4 linked regions of the Kluyveromyces lactis genome follow. The protein of the gene in region 4 purifies or fractionates together with the protein of the main gene of each other region. This does not show direct contact. Links are inferred from orthologs where the notes say so. Each region holds a gene or a part of one and is shown on either strand. Other genes may lie near its edges.

Evidence for each region. The genes of interacting proteins can lie anywhere in the genome.
Region 1: the proteins of RLI1 (region 4) and RPG1 purify together in Saccharomyces cerevisiae (affinity purification with mass spectrometry; 3 studies listed by BioGRID, with this or other methods). This does not show direct contact. The link is inferred for Kluyveromyces lactis from reciprocal best matches to the Saccharomyces cerevisiae genes RLI1 and RPG1.
Region 2: the proteins of RLI1 (region 4) and NIP1 purify together in Saccharomyces cerevisiae (affinity purification with western blotting; 4 studies listed by BioGRID, with this or other methods). This does not show direct contact. The link is inferred for Kluyveromyces lactis from reciprocal best matches to the Saccharomyces cerevisiae genes RLI1 and NIP1.
Region 3: the proteins of RLI1 (region 4) and YAE1 purify together in Saccharomyces cerevisiae (affinity purification with mass spectrometry; 3 studies listed by BioGRID, with this or other methods). This does not show direct contact. The link is inferred for Kluyveromyces lactis from reciprocal best matches to the Saccharomyces cerevisiae genes RLI1 and YAE1.

What each region holds. Positions count from the first base shown.
Region 1 is NC_006039.1:1,266,388-1,270,480, reverse strand, and holds RPG1 (translation initiation factor eIF3 core subunit a), read left to right. Parts: upstream 1-1,293; coding exon 1,294-4,071; downstream 4,072-4,093. Other genes in the region: AAA family ATPase SEC18, read left to right, coding at 1-976.
Region 2 is NC_006042.1:279,815-284,036, reverse strand, and holds NIP1 (translation initiation factor eIF3 core subunit c), read left to right. Parts: upstream 1-1,422; coding exon 1,423-3,882; downstream 3,883-4,222. Other genes in the region: BGL2 (glucan 1,3-beta-glucosidase), read left to right, coding at 1-533. UniProt on the Saccharomyces cerevisiae protein: Component of the eukaryotic translation initiation factor 3 (eIF-3) complex, which is involved in protein synthesis of a specialized repertoire of mRNAs and, together with other initiation factors, stimulates binding of mRNA and methionyl-tRNAi to the 40S ribosome.
Region 3 is NC_006038.1:1,229,257-1,231,437, reverse strand, and holds YAE1 (Yae1p), read left to right. Parts: upstream 1-1,252; coding exon 1,253-1,681; downstream 1,682-2,181. Other genes in the region: RFC2 (replication factor C subunit 2), read right to left, coding at 1-1,041; phosphatidylinositol kinase-related protein kinase TOR1, read right to left, coding at 1,810-2,181. UniProt on the Saccharomyces cerevisiae protein: The complex LTO1:YAE1 functions as a target specific adapter that recruits apo-RLI1 to the cytosolic iron-sulfur protein assembly (CIA) complex machinery.
Region 4 is NC_006039.1:1,541,532-1,550,485, reverse strand, and holds RLI1 (Fe-S cluster-binding ribosome biosynthesis protein), read left to right. Parts: upstream 1-4,258; coding exon 4,259-6,082; downstream 6,083-8,954. Other genes in the region: chromatin-remodeling ATPase CHD1, read right to left, coding at 1-2,596; mannose-ethanolamine phosphotransferase GPI13, read right to left, coding at 6,502-8,954. UniProt on the Saccharomyces cerevisiae protein: Component of the multifactor complex (MFC) involved in translation initiation. Required for the binding of MFC to the 40S ribosome. Required for the processing and nuclear export of the 60S and 40S ribosomal subunits.

The DNA.
Region 1 (4,093 bases), about 280 kb from region 4:
AATGAGAGAAAACAACATGCTCGCACATGATGTTAGCTTGAAAGAACTTGCATCACTCACGAAGAATTTCTCCGGTGCTGAAATTGAGGGTTTGGTGAAGAGTGCTAGTTCTTTTGCAATCAACAAGACTGTAAATATCGGAAAAGGGGCAACCAAACTAAAAACCAAAGACATTGCAAACATGAAGGTGACTAGACAAGATTTCTTGAATGCGTTAGATGAAGTGACTCCTGCGTTTGGTGTTAGTGAAGAAGATTTGAAGACTTGCGTAGAAGGTGGAGTCTTTAGGTTCTCCAACTCCGTAGACGACATTTTGAAAAACGGTGCTAGATACGTCCGTCAAGTGAGAGAGTCAGACAAATCAAGACTAGTATCCTTACTAGTGCATGGTCCTCCAGGTTCAGGAAAAACTGCCTTAGCTGCCGCCATTGCATTGAAGTCTGAGTTCCCATTTGTTAGATTAATTTCCCCTGAAGAAATAGCAGGTATGTCGGAAACGGCCAAGATCGCATACATCGACAATACCTTCAGAGATGCTTACAAATCGCCACTTAACATTCTAGTTATCGATTCGATAGAGACTCTAGTTGACTGGGTTCCAATTGGTCCAAGGTTCTCTAATAATATCCTACAAGTACTCAAGGTCTATTTGAAAAGAAAACCTCCAAATAATCGTCGTTTGCTTATCATCTCTACTACGTCCGCTTACACGGTGCTTAAGCAAATGGATATACTAAGTTGTTTCGACAACGAAATTGCTGTCCCAAACGTATCAAACCTAGATGAACTGAATAACATTATGACAGATTCCGGATTTCTTGACGATGCTGGTAGAGTCGAAGTTATCCGCAAATTATCCCAAGTTACATCTACTCTCAACGTCGGCGTGAAAAAAGTACTCACAAACATTGAAACAGCAAGACACGATGAGGATCCCGTCAATGAACTTGTTGATCTAATGGTGCAATCATCTTGAATTATACTATTCATTTCTAATATGATACATTTATATATATATATATATTATACATATGTGATATGTACTCGCGACATAGCACATAAACTTCAACTTCGTTCTCAATGATATCAACTTTTGATGAAGGTTGAAATTTTTCAGCATGCTTCCGTTGAAGATCAAAGAGAATAAGTGAAAAAAAACTTTTCAGTCTATTTATGTGAAACTTCTTCCTATTGCACCTTGCAAAATAAAGATATATACTTGGATCTAGTCTCTGATTTAGAAAGGGTAGATAACAACCGTTCTCGACCCATCGATTATACTAGCATTTCATCATGGCTCCACCGGCTTTACGTCCTGAGAATGCCATTAGAAGAGCTGACGAATTAGTCTCTGTTGGCGAGCCAATGGCTGCGTTGCAATCTCTATTTGATTTATTATCTTCAAGAAGGTCTCGTTTTGCTGATGCTGCCACTTTGGAACCTATAATCTTCAAGTTCTTGGAACTTGGTGTTGAATTGAGGAAGGGTAAAATGATCAAGGAAGGTTTATACCAATACAAGAAGCATATGCAACACACTCCCGAAGGTTTGATTTCTGTAGGTGCTGTTGCTCGTAAATTCATCGATTTGATCGAAACTAAGATGACCAACATCCAAGCGCAAACTGATGCCAAAGAAGAATCCAACAAGGACCAAGCCGAAGAGGATCTAGAGGGTGGTGTCACCCCAGAAAATTTGTTGGTTTCTGTTTACGAACAAGAACAAACTGTTGGTGGATTCAACAATGATGATGTTTCAGCTTGGTTGAGATTTACCTGGGAATCTTACCGTACCACTCTAGATTTCTTGAGAAATAATTCTCAATTGGAAATCACGTATGCGGGTGTTGTTAACAGAACCATGCAATTCTGTTACAAATATAACCGTAAGAATGAATTCAAGCGTTTAGCTGAAATGTTACGTCAACATTTGGATGCCGCAAACTACCAACAACAGAGATATGGTCACCACACTGTCGATTTATCAGATCCTGACACTTTGCAACGTTATTCTGACCAACGTTTCCAACAAGTTAACGTTTCTGTTAAATTGGAATTATGGCATGAAGCTTTCAGATCCATTGAAGATGTTCATCATTTGATGCGTCTCTCGAAGCGTGCTCCAAAGCCCTCTGTGTTGGCCAACTACTACGAAAATTTGGCCAAGATCTTCTTTGTCTCTGGTAACTATTTATTGCACGCTGCTGCATGGGAAAAATTCTACAATTTGTACTTGAAGAATCCAAATGCTTCCGAAGAAGACTTTAAGTTCTATTCATCTCAATTTGTCTTGTCCGCTTTGGCAATTCAATTGGATGACTTACCAATTGCTGGTTTCGATCCTCAAATTCGTCTATGTGACTTACTAGACCTTGAAAGTAAACCAAAGAGAAAGGATTTGATTACTGCTGCTGGTGAACAACAAGTCGTAGAGAAAGCTGACGCTGATATTTTGAAATTCTTCAATATATTGGAAACTAATTTCGATGTGAAGTCTGCTAAGTCTCAATTGTCTGCACTTTTGCCAAACTTGGTTGAAAAGCCATATTTCGCCCAATACGTGGCTCCATTGAGAAACCTATTCATCAGAAGATCCATCATTGAAGTCTCAAAGGCTCAAACATCTATTCACTTAGTTGAATTGCATGAAATGTTGTCACTGCCAGCTCCTTTCGAATTATCTGTTTTTGAACTAGAAAAATACTTAATCCAAGCTGCTATGGATGATTATGTTAGTATTTCCATTGACCATGAAACTGATACCGTTTCATTTGCCCAAGATCCATTTGACGCTTGGCAAGCATCTCTTGTTGAAGTTCCCGAATCTAGCACTTCTGATGAAGCAAAGAACTCTGAATCCGAAGAGGAAACCTCCCAAGAAACGCATGCTGATGAGGAACAGAATGAACAAGTCTTCACTCGTAACTCAGAAGTCCGTTCTAAGTTGACTGATCTATCCAAGATCTTAAAGGCCAACGAAGAATACGAAAATGGTTCTTACTATTACAGAGTCAAACTTGTGCGTGAAGAATTGATCAGAAGAAAGGAAGAAGTTATCAAGTTAGAAAAGGAAGCTGCTGAAATTAGAGCTAAGAGTAACGCTGAACGCAAGAAGAGAAGCGAAGAAGAAAACAAGATTCTTGCCAAGAAGGCTCTAGAAGAAAGGCAAAGACGTATGGCTGAGGAAAAGGCTGCTGTTGAATCTTCTATGGAGAAAGAAGCGGAACGTCGTGCTGAAGAAATGATGGAACGTGAGAGAGAAGCGATCCATGAACAAGAAATGAAGAAGTTGATTGCTGAAACTAATGCCAATGGTGTCATTCATATTGATCCAAAGGAAGCCAAGAACCTAACAAGTGATAAGATCAACCAAATGGTCATTGAACAAGTAGCCAAGAACAAGAAGGATTTGACTGAACGTATGACCTATGCCTTCAAGAAGTTAGATCACCTGGAAAGAGCCTATAGACAAATGGAATTGCCATTGTTAGAAAAGGACGCTGAAGAGCAAAAAAAGAGGGATAGAGAGAATTACGACAATTTCAAGAAGAAGTTAATTGAGACTTCCAAGGCCGACTATGAAAAGAAATTGGCTCTACATCAACGTTTGAACAAAATCTACAGTACTTTCAACCAATACAAGTCATCTGTTATCGCTGAAAAGAAGGAAGAGTTAGAAAAACAACGCGCCTTGAAGGAAGCTCAATTAGAAGAAGCTAAGAAGCAAAGAATTGAACAAGTCCGTAAGGAACGTTATGAAGCTAAAGTTGCTGAAATACAAGCTGCAATTGAAGCTGAAGCTGCTGAAAAGGAGGCTTTGGCTAAGGAGGAAGAACTTGCCAAGAGACGTGCCGAACGTGAAAGAATCAACAAGGAAAGAGACGAAATTGCTAGAAAGCAAAGAGAAATCGAAGAACTTCTTGAAAAGAAGAACGGTAGCTCTAGATCTAGCCCTGTTCCTTCTACTCCAACCCCAGCACCAGCACCAGCACAAACTGCTCCGGTATCCAATAAACCAATGTCTATGGCTGAAAAGTTGAGACTGAAGAGAATGAATGCTGGAAGAGGTTAATATCTTGCATATCTCATTCAGA
Region 2 (4,222 bases), on a different chromosome or scaffold from region 4:
ATGCTATCTCTGATGTCAAGGACTACATTAAAGACATCAAGGATTCCGATGGTAACTCTTACAGTGGCAAGCAAGTCGGTACTGTTGACTCATGGAACGTTTTGGTCGATGGTGGATCTGCTACCGCCATTCAAGCTGCTGACTTTGTCATGGCGAACGCCTTCTCTTACTGGCAAGGTCAAACTATGGATAATGCTTCTTACTCGTTCTTCGACGATATCATGCAAGCTCTACAAACTATCCAAACTACCAAGGGTTCTACTGACATTCAATTCTGGGTTGGTGAAACTGGCTGGCCAACCGATGGTACCAACTTTGAAAGTGCTTACCCAGGTCTAGATAACGCTAAGCAATTTTGGGCTGATGGTATTTGTGCTATGAGAGGCTGGGGTGTCAACGTTATCGTTTTCGAAGCTTTCGATGAGGACTGGAAACCAGATACTTCTGGTATTTCCGATGTTGAAAAGTACTGGGGTGTTTGGGATGCCAACAGAAACTTGAAGTTCAAGTTGGATTGTGATTTCAGCTCTTAATTTTTGAGTTGAGCTTCTCTTCTCTTTAACATACAATACAGATTGTGTGTATTTTTTTTACCCTTCCACTTTCTCATTTGATACCGGTTATAATTGTTGACTTGTTGTTTCCTTTCGTCTCCTATTAACAACTCAAAATTATACAAATGAAGCTTTCATGTCACATTTAGGTCACACATTCCTTCAGCAAATTGATCCATTCATACTTGTTACTACGGCTGTTATCTAAAGGTGATATTAACTTATTACCTACTTGAATTCTTCAAATTGCGATACTATCCATTTTAATTCCTGGACTAAAAAAAAAAAAGAACATTAAAAGAGTACTTTATATATCACAACAGCAGAACATTTTCATGAACCATAAATGTATCTATCCCGTTGTCGAAGTATGCCCACAAAACATCGATCAAGAAGGCATCGTATATGGTATGAAAGCTTCAAAATTATTTTATTTCTTAGCAACATCTATATTTCACTTTTCATATAACTAAATTAAATCGATATTATTTTATACCCTATTTATCATCGATGATTATACGCAATCACACAAAGTTAGACGTCCATTTTGGCCTAACATCAACCGGCGACAGACTCCCACTTCACTTTGTTCTTTGCAATGGTACATTCATTTATCATTACCCGGCTACCAATCGTGTTCCATGATTATTTGAAAATTTTCACAAATTTTCACTCAGTGAAAGCTCATCTCAAAAGAAAATCTGAAAGGTTTGAAATCGAATTAATAGATGAAATTCAGTTGAGACGTGTAATAAGCAATACTTTTCAATTGTAGGTTGGAATCACCAGGTCGTAACAGGGAGACTAGGTTGAGATTAGTACGTGGTATTAAGGAAATAGAACAACGTTAAGCGATAGTCCATTCATCATGTCCCGTTTTTTTTTGAAGACATATGAGTACGATTCAACGTCTTCTGGTGAAGAAGAAGACTTGTTATCTCAAAGTGAAGAGGATTTAGTTTCATCCTCCAGTGAGGAAGAATTATCTGATGACTCTTTCTTCAACGACTCTGATGAGAGTTCCGATAATGATGAAGACAATGATTCTGATAGCAAACCCTACGGCCCTGACTGGTTCAAGAAGCCAGAATTCAGAAAAGGTGGTGGTTCAGGTGCTAACAAGTTCTTGAAATCTACCAACTATTCATCTGATGAAGACTCATCCGACGAAGAAGATGGTAAGAAGGTTGTGAAGTCAGCAAAAGAGAAGTTGTTGGATGAAATGAAATCTATTTACCAAAAAATTGATTCCGCAGAAGCCCAACAAGATTGGGAATCATTATTAAACCATTTGGAAACCATTTTGAAATTATACACAAAAGCCCAACAACAAAACTACGGTACACCTAATATCTTTGTGAAGTCATTGGCTAGATTTGAAGATGCGGTATCTGCTACTTCTCAGGATGAAATTAAGAATAAGGCAGTTGCAAGAGCTTATAACACCACCAAGCAAAGAGTTAAGAAGTTAATCAGAGAAAACGAAACCTCCGTTAAGGCTTACAGAGAAAACCCAGAGGACTTTGACAAGGAACCTGTCTTAGATGCTGATATAGACTCAAGAGATGTCTCTGCTACTCCATTCTCCTTGAGTGGTAAGAAGAATTTAGACTTGGCATCCGTGGCAAATAACATTTCTGAGCTAGACTTTTTCAAGACGTTGAATATTATCATCGATTCTAGAGGTAAGAAAAACACTGACCACACAGAACAAATTAAAACCACCGAAGAACTATTGAAGATTGCCAAGACTCCATATGAAAAGATCTGTACATACTTGAACTTGATTCCAATCAGATTCGATGCATCTGTATCCTTATCATACCAACCACTAGAACAATGGAAAGCATCAAAGGATAACTTGGATGGTTTATTGGAAGTGCTGGAACAAGAGATCGACCACTATCAAGTTACTGAATTTGCCCCAAGAAATGATTTCATTGAAGATGAACCAGAAGCTAATGAGCATGGTGTCAAGGAAATTTTGGGTTCTATCTTCTCTATGGTTGAAAGATTGGACGATGAATTTAGCAAATCCCTTTTGAACATTGACACTCGTTCCAGTGAATACATGGAACGTTTGAGAGATGAACAATCTATTTACAATTTGATTATCAGATCCCAATTGTACTTTGAACGTGTAACTGCAGAAGAACACCGCGATAGACTTTTGGCCCGTGTCTTCAACAGAAGACTTGAACATATCTACTACAAGTCCGACAAGCTCATCTCTATTATGGAAACCGTTGCATGGAAACAAATTCGTGAAGGAACTGCGTCCCTTGAATCCTCTTTCGTTCGTTTGAATGAATCAGATTCCGCAGATGCCGATTACAACTTCAAGGTCATCTCTGAATTGTCCGATTTCTTAATTAAACAAAAGAGTAACAACGTGTTCAACTACAGAAAAGGTACCTTGTACAAAACATATTATATTGCATTGAACCAAGAATACGCTCCAGCAAAGAAAATAATGCTTTCTTCCGATATTGCTAAATTCATTTCAGGCTCTGATGCAGCATTACAAATTTTGTACAATAGATGTGTTATTCAACTTGGTTTGGCTGCATTTAAGGCTGGTTTAATAAATGAATGTCACCAAGTTTTGAACGGTCTTTGTATTAATCCACATCTAAGAGAAATTTTGGGTCAACAAAGTTTACAAAGAGCTAATGCGAACAGCAATGTCGTGCAGGGTGCCCCTGTTGAACAATTATGTCTTCCTTTCCATCAACACATCAACTTGGATCTAATTGACACCGTCTACATGACATGTTCTTTATTACTTGATGTGCCTCACATGGCAGCTTATTACAGCGGTATTAAGGTCAAGAGAATCCCAGTTTTCCAAAAATCTATCCGCCGTATTCTAGAGAGTTCAGAGAAAGCTATTTTCCATGGTCCTCCAGAAACTCTAAGAGATCACATTCTTTATGCTGCAAAGTCAATGCAAAAGGGTGATTACTTACAATCGATCGAATATTTGAGGAAAATTTCTGTGTGGTCTTTGTTGAGTAAATCTGATGATATCATCAACCAACTAAGTGAAAAGGTTCAAATTGAAACTTTGAAAACTTACATTTTCACTTACAAGAGATTCTACTCTAAAATATCCATTTCTAAATTATCGAAATTGTTTGATCTTGATATCGAAAAGGTTTTGGCTGTAGCACAAAACATCATCAATGATTACGAAGTTAAAGCCAAATTGGATGAAAATAACGAATACATTATCTTCGAAAGAGGCGAAGAAATCACAAAGTTAGAAGAAGTTGCCATCAAGTTAGTTAAAGAAACCAAGTACCACTCTGAACGTTTACGCCAGTAAACATTTTCATTCTTCGTTCAGCAGATAAGGTCAGTTTCTAATTGTAGCACTCACCTTCCATACACATAACAAAATTTGCTCTTCCTTCTTTTGTTCACTTACCGTGCGCATATTAATAGACAGAGTCGTTGGCAAAGAACCTTTGTTTTAGCATTTGCAATAAATACTAGTATTTGTACATTATCGATAATATATAACATAGTTCTCACTGTAGGCAATTACGTAGTTTTTGAAATCAATTAATTGAATTTTGGAGACATATAACATCTCGAACATTGACTCGTAACAATACAGTTTATGCGCTGGTTCATTCTATATATATATGTATATGATACACATT
Region 3 (2,181 bases), on a different chromosome or scaffold from region 4:
TACCTTCATTGCTAGGTTCAACATTTGAAGATGCTCGCTAGCTCCGTTGGTTAACTTGGAATCGCTATCGAAAAGTAGCCAAGATACCTTATTCTTAAACTCTGTATCGTAGCTTTCATTCTTGATGTAATACTCATGCAATTGGGTCAATGCTGAAGCTGCACTCCATCCCTGGTTAACAAATTCCTGTACCTTATCAATAATCTTGTTGAGATCTTTTCCTTTTATTACGTTGATTAGATCCTGTAGTATCTCTTCATGAATCGTCCCCGATAATTCATTAGCATGCTTCAAAGTAATAGTATTCGCATCATCGTTCTGCAACACGATCTTAGCTGCAGATTGGAGCAGAGTTATAGCCTTTCTTAGATCACCTTGGGAAATATCTAATATTCTTTCAAGAACACCGTCTTCATATTTCAAAGATTCTTCGTTAGCGATGAACTGTAGACGGCTTAGTGCATTGGATGAATCCAACGCTTTGAATCTGAATTTGGAACACCTTGAAGCCAAGGGATCAATGATTCTAGTAACGTAATTACAGATCAAACAGAATCTAGTGACACCAGAATAGGTTTCCATGGTTCTACGCAGCGCACTTTGTGCGTCAGCAGTCATAGAATCGGCTTCATCAAGAATGATAATTTTGTATGGTGGACATGGATAATTCGCAAGGTCTGATTCTGATGGCTTAGACACAGTGAGCCTAGCAAAGTTCTTCACTTTCTCTCTGACGATCGAAATACCACGTTCATCGGACGCGTTTAATTCTAGAACTCTGCTGTTCGATAAATGGGGACCGTACAACTCTTTCGTCAAAGCAAGAATAGTAGAAGTCTTACCAGTACCAGGAGGACCATAAAACAACATATGTGGCAAATTTGCAGTCTGTAAAGTCCTTTTCAAGACGGTAACGGCATGATCCTGAGCAGCAACATCATCTAATTTCCTTGGTCTATACTTTTCAACCCATGGTTTTGCTTGACCTTTACCATCTGATGGGTTCAACTTCTGTTTCTTGAATATCGTTCCACTAGACATCGCGCCTCAACACCTTCTTGAGCTCTCAATGGCCCTTTACAAACCTTTATTTCTCATATTTTATAATCCAAAAGATCTTATCATTCAAAGTCGTTAAAGGTTCAGCTGGGAATTTTTCAATGTTGAAAGCTTATTAAATACAGAGTACACGATGAGATGATAAAGAGGTGTCCACTAGAGGACCAAGATATTGATCATAACCTCACGACCAATGACCGTGGAGATGACAGATGAGGAAAATATATGGGGCTCTGATAATGAGGCCAGTACCGGTCCTCAAGAGTCGCTAGAAGTGAAGAAACTTCAACAAATACATTCGAAAAGAGGGTATTTAGATGGTATTTCGTCAGCGAAGGAGGAAAACTTGCAAGCTGGGTTTGACGATACCTTCCCCTTGGGTGCTAAGTATGGGTTTCAAATAGGGGAAATTGTGGGTAAATTGAGGCTATTTACCACGCTTTATGGGAATGCAGACCCTCAAGTTGCTGCAGACTTAAAGCAAGCTCAAGACGAACTACGGATTAACAGGGTGTTGTCCGCTAGACACTTCGATGAAGAATTACAACCTTTAGATTCATTGAAGGTACTCCTATCCAAATGGCAAGCTCGGGTATTGGATTATGAAGGTAAGTATTCTTGATGAGTATGATTTTTATTTTGATAAATAATGACAGGTATACGCACCTTCTTACAAATACATAGTGTATAAGAAGATATAATGATTCAATAGTCTATAATGCTTTTAGCGATGTTCTTTTTGTTTAGGTATCACCAGAACGAACACCAGCCGATGTAATGTTGACATAGGTTTTCTACTGATGTAGCTTGCTGGATCAACTTGTCGACTTGATCAGGCACAGATAGTTCTTGATACCTTGGGAAATCGTTACCAGTAAGTTTATCAGCGATTCTTTTGAGAACAAGAGTGGCTCTTGCGTTGCGGACTTCTGCCTTTTGTTGTAGTTCCATCTTGGCCGCATCTTCAACGGTGATGACGCCCTTTCTTAGTAACTCACTTGGATTTGCAAGAGGTAGATCTATTCCCGTCTGTTCCATCACGGCTTGAGTCGGTAGATCGAAACCCCAGTTGATTAATGGATCGTATGCAAAGGCTTCCAAAATAGCCATCAAGGACTCCTT
Region 4 (8,954 bases):
TTTTGTTACCATCTGTGACACCAAGAGAAATAATAGCGTATTCTAGAATCATCTTCTTTCTTGCACGCTCTAAGACTTCTTCTTCAACTGTATCTTTGGATACAAATCTATAAACCATGACATGATTCTTCTGGCCAATTCTATGAGCTCTTGCCATAGCTTGTAAATCCGCCTGTGGATTCCAATCAGAGTCAAAGATGATGACAGTGTCAGCAGTCATCAAATTGATACCTAAACCACCGGCTCTGGTAGATAGCAAAAAGACAAAATCGTTAGAATCTTCCGCGTTGAAATGGTCAATAGATATCCTACGCTGAGCAGAAGGCACTGTACCGTCAAGTCTTTGGAAATTTATACCTTTGATAGATAAATAGTCACCTAGAATATCTAAAATTCTAACCATTTGTGAGAAAATTAGAACCCGATGACCATCCTTTTTCAATCGTGTCAAAAGTTTATCCAATAATACCATCTTACCACTGGACATGATCAACCCTCTTAAAATGTTTTCTCTAGATTTGTGACCATCACCAAACTTAGAAAGAACTCTTTCTTCGGCGTTATCAAAAAGATAGGGATGGTTTGATGCCTTTTTCAATTCATTCATAACATTTAGAAGAGAAACGTGGCCGCCCTTAATACCAGAAGTCAAAGCAGAATAATTCTTTGTTAGAATGTTCTTATAATACTCCGTTTGAACATCAGAGAGTTCCACTCTTAAGATACGTTCGGTTTTCGAGGGCAAGGATTTTTCTACATCTTTTTTCAAACGACGAAGAATAAAGGGTTGTAACCTCTTATGCAAATCTCTGATGTATTCTTCCTGTTGTTCGTCCTGATTTTCAAAGTCGATTTCTTGATCAATAGTGAATCTGCCTGGCATTAAGAAATTCACCAATGCCGCCAATTCTTTAATGTTATTTTGTAACGGTGTACCGGTGATTAACAATCTGTTCGCAACTTTGAAACTGTTTAGAGATTCATATAGAGATGATTCTGCATTTTTCAAACGATGAGCTTCATCCACAGCCAGGAACTGCCACTTAATTGAACCCAACGTTGACCTATCTTTCAAAATATACTCATATGTTGTCAACAGAACGTTAAATTTGAGATGTTTTTTGCCCTTAGCTTGTGGGTTGGTGTAAAATTCATAATCTTGAATTAAGTCCCTTGAAGCTTGATTACCCATATAGTAAACACAGTTCAAACCAGGAGCCCATTTATCAAAAGTTTCTTGCCATGCAGGCATGGTTGATAAAGGTACCACTACTAAATGAGGACCGTTTTGTCTTCTAGCGTAAATGAGCCAACTGATAAATGAAACAGTTTGAACAGTTTTACCAAGACCCATCTCATCAGCAAGGATACCGTTATCGTTCTTTGACCAAAGAAAGGCCATCCAATTGATACCAGTCAATTGAAAATCTCTTAGTTCCCCACCTTTAATGAAACTAGGTTGGGCGTCTAGCTTTTCGAATTTCGGTCTTTGATTTGCTGGGTAATTAGAGGAGTTTTGTGGCATTATCTTGGAATTGGTTCTGTTTTGGAACTCTTTTACCTGTTCAGGAGCCATCTTGACAATCTCGGAGGCTACTTCCCAAGTACACTCATCATAATTTAAACGACGCCATTTTACAAGATACTTCAATTGGGACGAACCTGATCCGTCCTCATTTTCAAAACGTTCCGAGTCAATGATCCGTTCTGGCACCTTGAACTCTTCGAATTCGTCAATTCTACGCTCATGCTCAAGATCCATGACTTCTATATCCTCTCTGGTGGTATATGGGTCTGCTCTCACCTCTTGATCTAAAATGATAAACTGTTTATAATAATTCTCTATTCTTTTCAAACCTTTAGTCCCGTTCTCCTTGAGGTCCTCGTAGGACTCCCAACTGTTATGTAAATGAGATTGATCTGCCCATTTAATAAGGAACTCAAAGTTAGCTCTGATGGAATCCACATCCCATCTACGATTCTTCGTCGATCCCGAATTATCAACACCTTCCTTCAAACGATGATCGACAACGATGTCGATGCTATGCGTTTCCTGTTGCGGCGACGGCGAAGCAGAATATCCATCTTGCAAGTCCATATCCTCGCTATCCAAATTATGACCCTCATCCTGTTCCTCGGAAGATTCCATCAAATCCTCATCGTTAGAATCATCATTTAATGTATAATTAATGACTTTATTATTATTCCGAGACGAAAACCTGGTAGGCAAAACGACATTTTCCTCGTCACTCTCCTCGACACGTTTCGCTTGGCGTTTACTCTTTGAATTACCAGCACTGACACGCTTCCTACCCCTTTTGGCACTAGGTGCGCGGGTTGGTTTCCTTTTCGAACCGAAATCATCAGTGTCACTGAAATCATCAATTTCCTCTTCTTCTTCCTCTTCTTCGTCATAATTATGTTCCTGTTTCACAGCCTTCCGCTTTTGCTTACCCCTTCTGGGACGAATCACTTCCTCATCTGAATCTGAATCTAAACCAGCATAAGTATTATGGGTGATAGCGGCTCTATGCGACCTACGCAACCCGTAAAGTTCCGGATTCGCTAAGACTTCGTCTGGTAAATCCTGTACCATTATTGCATGAATCTAAACAGAGGGAAAAACAAAAAAAAATATTAATACAAAACACAACTTTAACACTCTGTGACAATAGATTCGTTCACCTCCACTGCTTTAGAATACCTATCGAATCCTTAAATGCAGATATTCTCACGTTTAAATCGTGTGCTCTGTTGAATGGGTCTTTTCTTTACAGGTTTAGATTGGAAAAAGAGTTCAAAACAAGTTTTGACTACGGGAAAGATACAGACGATATAGGACTAAAAAAATTTTATAAAACTAGGGTGAGAAAGAGGGTAACTAGGAAGTAATGTATCACATTACCGTTGACAGGTGACAACCAAGACGGGGATTACATTACTATCCATCTCAATCGATGGGGCAAGGTAGCAAGAAGTAGAAGATGATCGGCACATATGTCAGTGGAGACAGACTTGGCAAACGCTGAATAAACACGTACATGGCGTGTCTACTCGGTTTGTTCAGACCGAAGGAAAGAATAAGGTTGGATAATGAACGGTCAAACGGTGGTCAATTGAGGAGGTTTCCAGTTGATAAAACAGCAGTTTCAATTTCAACAGAAAAAAATACAGTACAGTATGAATTCCGTGAATATTTCAAATGCTGGCGATTTCAAAAAGTCGACAATAGAGAGCATATCCCGTACTAATCGAGTACGGGCCCCTTTCATCGTATCAGTAACCAAACGTTTACACACTTGGTGAGCAATTCCATATGAATGATGCACCTCAAAAAGGGAGGAACAAACTCAAGCACTTATATCGCGTTGCCCATTGAAAAATGGGCAACGCGAGCCCACACCGGAGAGACACCCCTGAATCAACCACAATGACATAACTCCAGGGAAATTCCCACCATAGTGGCACTTTCCCGCCCAAATCTACCCTTGCTTCTTCGACATGATTTAACCGCCCAAGTTCCGGAAAAATGATTCCCCGAAAAGTGATATCCAAAGAAGAGAAAACAAGATCTCAAGCCGGCTTTCTTTATATATTCATATCACATCACTCTAAACGATAATTAACTAATCCTTTCATCACCAAAAAAAATTTTTTTTTTTTTTTTCACTGAAAAATTTCACAAAGCTCATCTCATCGAGAAAACGAGAATGGAACAATAACAATTTCCAAGCTTTATCTGTATGAAAACAATGGTAAAGGTTTTAAAATATAAAGTTATTTCACTTGTTTTAGTTTGCTTTAATTCAGTTGTACTTATAATTTGATTACTTGTATCTCAATAAGTAATAGGTTCTGATTCTTTAGTAGTGGTATTCGTTTTTTTAAAGAGTTTTTTTTTGTTTTAGAAGCACAGACTAGAGAATACGGTTTCAAGGCTGGTGAGAAGAGTTTGATATAAGACTACTCTTAAAACTATTTATTTCGGATACAGAAGGATATTATTAATCTGATTTTAATCCATCCTAATTTATATTTTAATCTGTCCTAATCTATCCTAGGTCAATTGCAAAGCAAGGAATCAGGAAGGTTTATAAACTACAGCGTCTCCCACTAGCAAGGGCATAAACAATATACATTTACGGAATCTTTACGCTCCAACTCCCAACATTTTTATTGATAGAGAACGGATACTGGGAAGTACCTGAATTTTAATTCAATCATAGAAACACAAAACAAACTCATAGTACCAAAAAAAATGTCATCGAAAAATACTCGTATCGCTATTGTCAGCGAGGATAAGTGTAAGCCAAAGAAATGTCGTCAGGAATGTAAGAGATCTTGTCCCGTGGTTAAGACTGGTAAGTTATGTATAGAAGTGATGCCTACTTCCAAGATTGCGTTTATCTCTGAAAATTTGTGTATCGGTTGTGGTATTTGTGTTAAAAAGTGTCCATTTGATGCTATTCAAATCATCAATTTGCCAACGAATTTAGATTCTCAAGTGACACATCGTTATTCGGCAAACTCTTTCAAGTTGCATCGTTTGCCCACTCCAAGACCGGGTCAGGTTTTGGGTCTTGTCGGTACCAACGGTATTGGTAAGTCTACTGCATTGAAGATCTTGGCAGGTAAGCAAAAGCCTAACCTTGGTCGTTTCGAAGATCCTCCAGAATGGCAAGAGATCATTAAATATTTCCGTGGTTCTGAATTGCAGAACTATTTCACTAAGATGTTGGAAGATGATATCAAAGCTATCATCAAGCCACAATATGTGGATAACATTCCTCGTGCCATTAAGGGCCCCGTCCAAAAAGTTGGCGAGTTGTTGAAATTGAGATTGGAGAAATCAAAAGATGATGCTAAGAGGTATATCGATATCTTACAGTTAAAGAATGTTTTGAACAGAGAAGTCTCTGCCCTTTCAGGTGGTGAATTGCAAAGATTTGCTATCGGTATGTCTTGTGTTCAGGAAGCAGATGTTTATATGTTCGATGAACCTTCTTCTTATTTGGATGTTAAGCAACGTTTGAACGCTGCTTTAATTATCAGATCTCTATTGAATCCAACCACATACGTTATCTGTGTGGAGCACGATTTATCGGTGCTAGATTATTTGTCGGATTTTGTTTGTATTATTTATGGTGTGCCTTCTGTTTATGGTGTTGTTACTTTACCATCTTCTGTCCGTGAAGGTATTAATATATTCTTAGATGGTCACATTCCGTCTGAAAATTTGCGTTTCAGAACTGAAGCGCTACAATTCCGTATGGCTGATGCTGGTGATGAATTGGAAGCCGATGCAAGCCGTGCATTCACTTACCCAGATATGAAACGTACACAAGGTGATTTCTCTCTAACCGTTGAAGCAGGTGAATTCTCCGATTCTCAAATCTTGGTTATGATGGGTGAAAACGGTACTGGTAAGACAACATTAATTAAACTTCTTGCAGGTGCTATTCCTGCTGATGATGGTCAAGATATTCCTAAGTTGAACGTTTCAATGAAGCCCCAGAAGATTGCTCCAAAGTTCACTGGTACTGTGCGTCAATTGTTCTTTAAGAGAATTAGAGCACAATTCTTGAACCCACAGTTCCAAACTGATGTCGTTAAGCCTTTGAAAATCGATGATATCATTGATCAAGAAGTTCAGCATTTGTCTGGTGGTGAATTACAGAGAGTGGCTATTGTGCTTTCTTTGGGTATGAATGCTGACATTTACTTGATTGATGAACCATCTGCCTACTTAGATTCTGAACAACGTATCATTTGTTCTAAAGTTATCAGACGTTTCATCTTGCATAATAAGAAAACTGCATTCATCGTCGAGCACGATTTTATCATGGCTACATATTTGGCCGATAAAGTCATCGTGTTCGATGGTATCCCATCTAAGCAAGCTTTCGCTAGAGCTCCAGAAAGTTTGTTGACTGGTTGTAACAAATTCTTAAAGAACTTGAACGTTACCTTCAGAAGAGATCCAACCTCTTTCAGACCAAGAATCAATAAATTAGACTCCCAAATGGATAAAGAACAAAAGTCATCTGGTAACTATTTCTTCTTAGACCACAATGGTGTTTAATCGCCTTACTAATGGCGATCGGGTATCCATTCTAATGTGTCTTTTTTGCTTATTTTTTTGTCATTATTCATCATTCATCCTATCTAATTCTCATCATTTCTTATCTGTTGGCTGGTTTTTAAGGTTATATTACAAATCATGAATCAATTCCAATTGATTGGAACGGCATAGTCCTCGGCAATACCATTTTTGTGCATAAATGTTACTGTACAATAATTAATACATCTGTATAATATCTATAAATTATTTATTCTCCCAATTATCAACCAAAAATTTCGCGAGATATTGAATGCAAATCAAATAAAACAGGCCTCTTCAAAACGACACATACGAATCGTCCGTGTCCATCTCGCATAAATAAATAAATAAATTTATTTATACATTAAGAGAGTTCCTACTATATTGGTTTCGAGTAAGGTTTATTTTGAAAACAATTGACTTATCTGCCTGATTAGTCTAGAACTTGCAAAACCAATAGTAATAAATGTTACAACGAGTTGACTTACTATCAAACATAATGATGCAAATAGGAATCGAGGACAGAATATTTTCCACACCATTAGGTGTCTTCTGAAATGCGTCACCCAAACAAAACTGCTCAAACATAGAACACTGTTATATATCAACAAAGTACCGGAATTCGAAACAATTCTTGCAAGAATTGTTTGTGGTTGTAAGACACTTGGCGGTTGCTTCCAAAGAGTTAATAAGGCCACGGAAAGCGCTACCAATATGAATGGCCCAAAGGTATTCAATACAATCCCAAGGTGTGTCCAAGGAAAAATGATCTTTTCTGTTAAAATGAAACCCATATCCCATTGAACTGATGGAATTGTCGCTTGATGCCCAGTACTGAAAAACTGTTGATACGCTAGTAAACCAAGGGCAACGGGTCCGATTAAACTCTCTTTTACTTTGAGTAGGTCACATATTTCAATGATAGAAAGTAATTGGTTGCACATTAAGAATATTGATAGTTGACCTAATGGCTTATTGAAAAGCATGATAGCCATCAAAAAGTTTATGACCAATAGAAAGTATTGGGATCCATAGACGTTAGAGTAACCTAAGATTGTGGCCTGTTGAGATTTCAAGTCTGTATTATGGATGTTTAGTTTAACACATAGGGGCCCTTTCATCCAGCCAATATTACAGGCAATTAACGATATACCGACAATAATACGAGATATAGTATATTTCCAGATAGTTAGGTCCCATGCTAAATCTTCGAATTTATTTTCTATTGTCAGTAAAGACCAGTATGTGAAACTCGCAAACAAAGAACCCTTTAGAATCAACCCGATCCAGATCGGTGCTGCTGCTTGATAAGATGAGCATACGTTGTAATAACCCTTAATACAAGAAGGGATTGCAGGAATTAAAAATAAACACCCCAACATGGTATAGTATGAATAGTTATTGGAGATAGTAAACGTTGGCGTGCAATATGGTCCTTGTTCTTCACGGCAAATAGTAATCATGGAAGAGAGTCTTGTGCATAGAACCAACACAATAGAATGATACCCACCTAATATCCTTGCGAATCTGCCCAGCGGTAAAGAATCTGAATTAGATTCGCCCACAGATTTACCGGATAAAGTCCCTTGTTTTTCTCCGGCTCCAGATAAAATAGCAGCTGTTGAGTGTCTTTGCGGTAGGAACGCGAATTCATATAATGTTAGCATACCAAAAGTGGTTAGCAAGAAAGCGACAATCCTATCTTCCCAAATGGTAAATGAATTAGAGGTAAACAGAAGGGCGTGCAATGTGATGAATAAGGTCGCTATTCTTGACCAATAATCGGATAGTTCTTCAACCAAACGTAAACATAACCATTGGACACTATAGCGATCAAATATAGGGATGAACACTCCCAAAATAATTCCAACAGAAGTAGCAAAAGCAGAGCACCAAAGAGAATTATCCAAAAATGCTGGTTGATGTAACACTTGGTAGATACCTTGGAAGCTGACATTTGATATTGCCGAAATGACTACGACACAACCAACGAAATCACCAACCATCTGGCCAACAACTATCGAAGGTATCAACTTGATTATAATGAGTAACAATATCAAAGAAAAAGCCATGAGTGCTATTCCTACGCATATACTTGTGAAATCAAATCTTGCCCACAAATCTTTACAAATTTCAAGGAACATTTGTTGAAACTCTGGGTGGTTCTCGACGCTTATCAACGCATCACGTCTAGCAGTGGCACCGATTATGTTACTGACGCTCAAATATTTCTCTAATTGGTTCCGACATATATTGTGGTAAAGCGTTAATTCTTCAGGGTCATTTGCAATTTCATCCAACGGCCAACCCAAATTATTGAATGGAATTGGAATTCCCAATAGTAAGGAGAGGGTAGGCACCAGGTCAATCTGGTTCATTTGCTTATATGAAGTACCCAGATCTGTAGTATTATAACTGTCGTAATCCTTACTCCAGTTGGCATTCTTCGCGTATAGCCAAAGGACACTTTCCAACTCGTCTTGCGAATCACCACCGTGGTTTCCTGTGTGGTCCATACCGTGATCACCCATAACAACGTATAACGTGTTATCATCTGCAGTGCTTATAATTTTCCGCAATAGCTCATCAACTTGAAGCTGTTTTTCCTTCATGGTAAAATGATTAGGACCGTACTTATGTCCGACATGATCAACTCCTAACATATGTCCGATCAAGATATCGTATTCAGACCGTTTCTCTTCATTGAAATAATACTCCTCTAAGTAAGAAATAACCCCATTATCGACTGTGTCTAAATCCCAAACGTTCAAGGATTCATATGGTACACTTTCTGGAGCCAAATACGGATTAAATAGGGCATCCCAAGTGTCATCACCGGCAAAGAATATTTTCT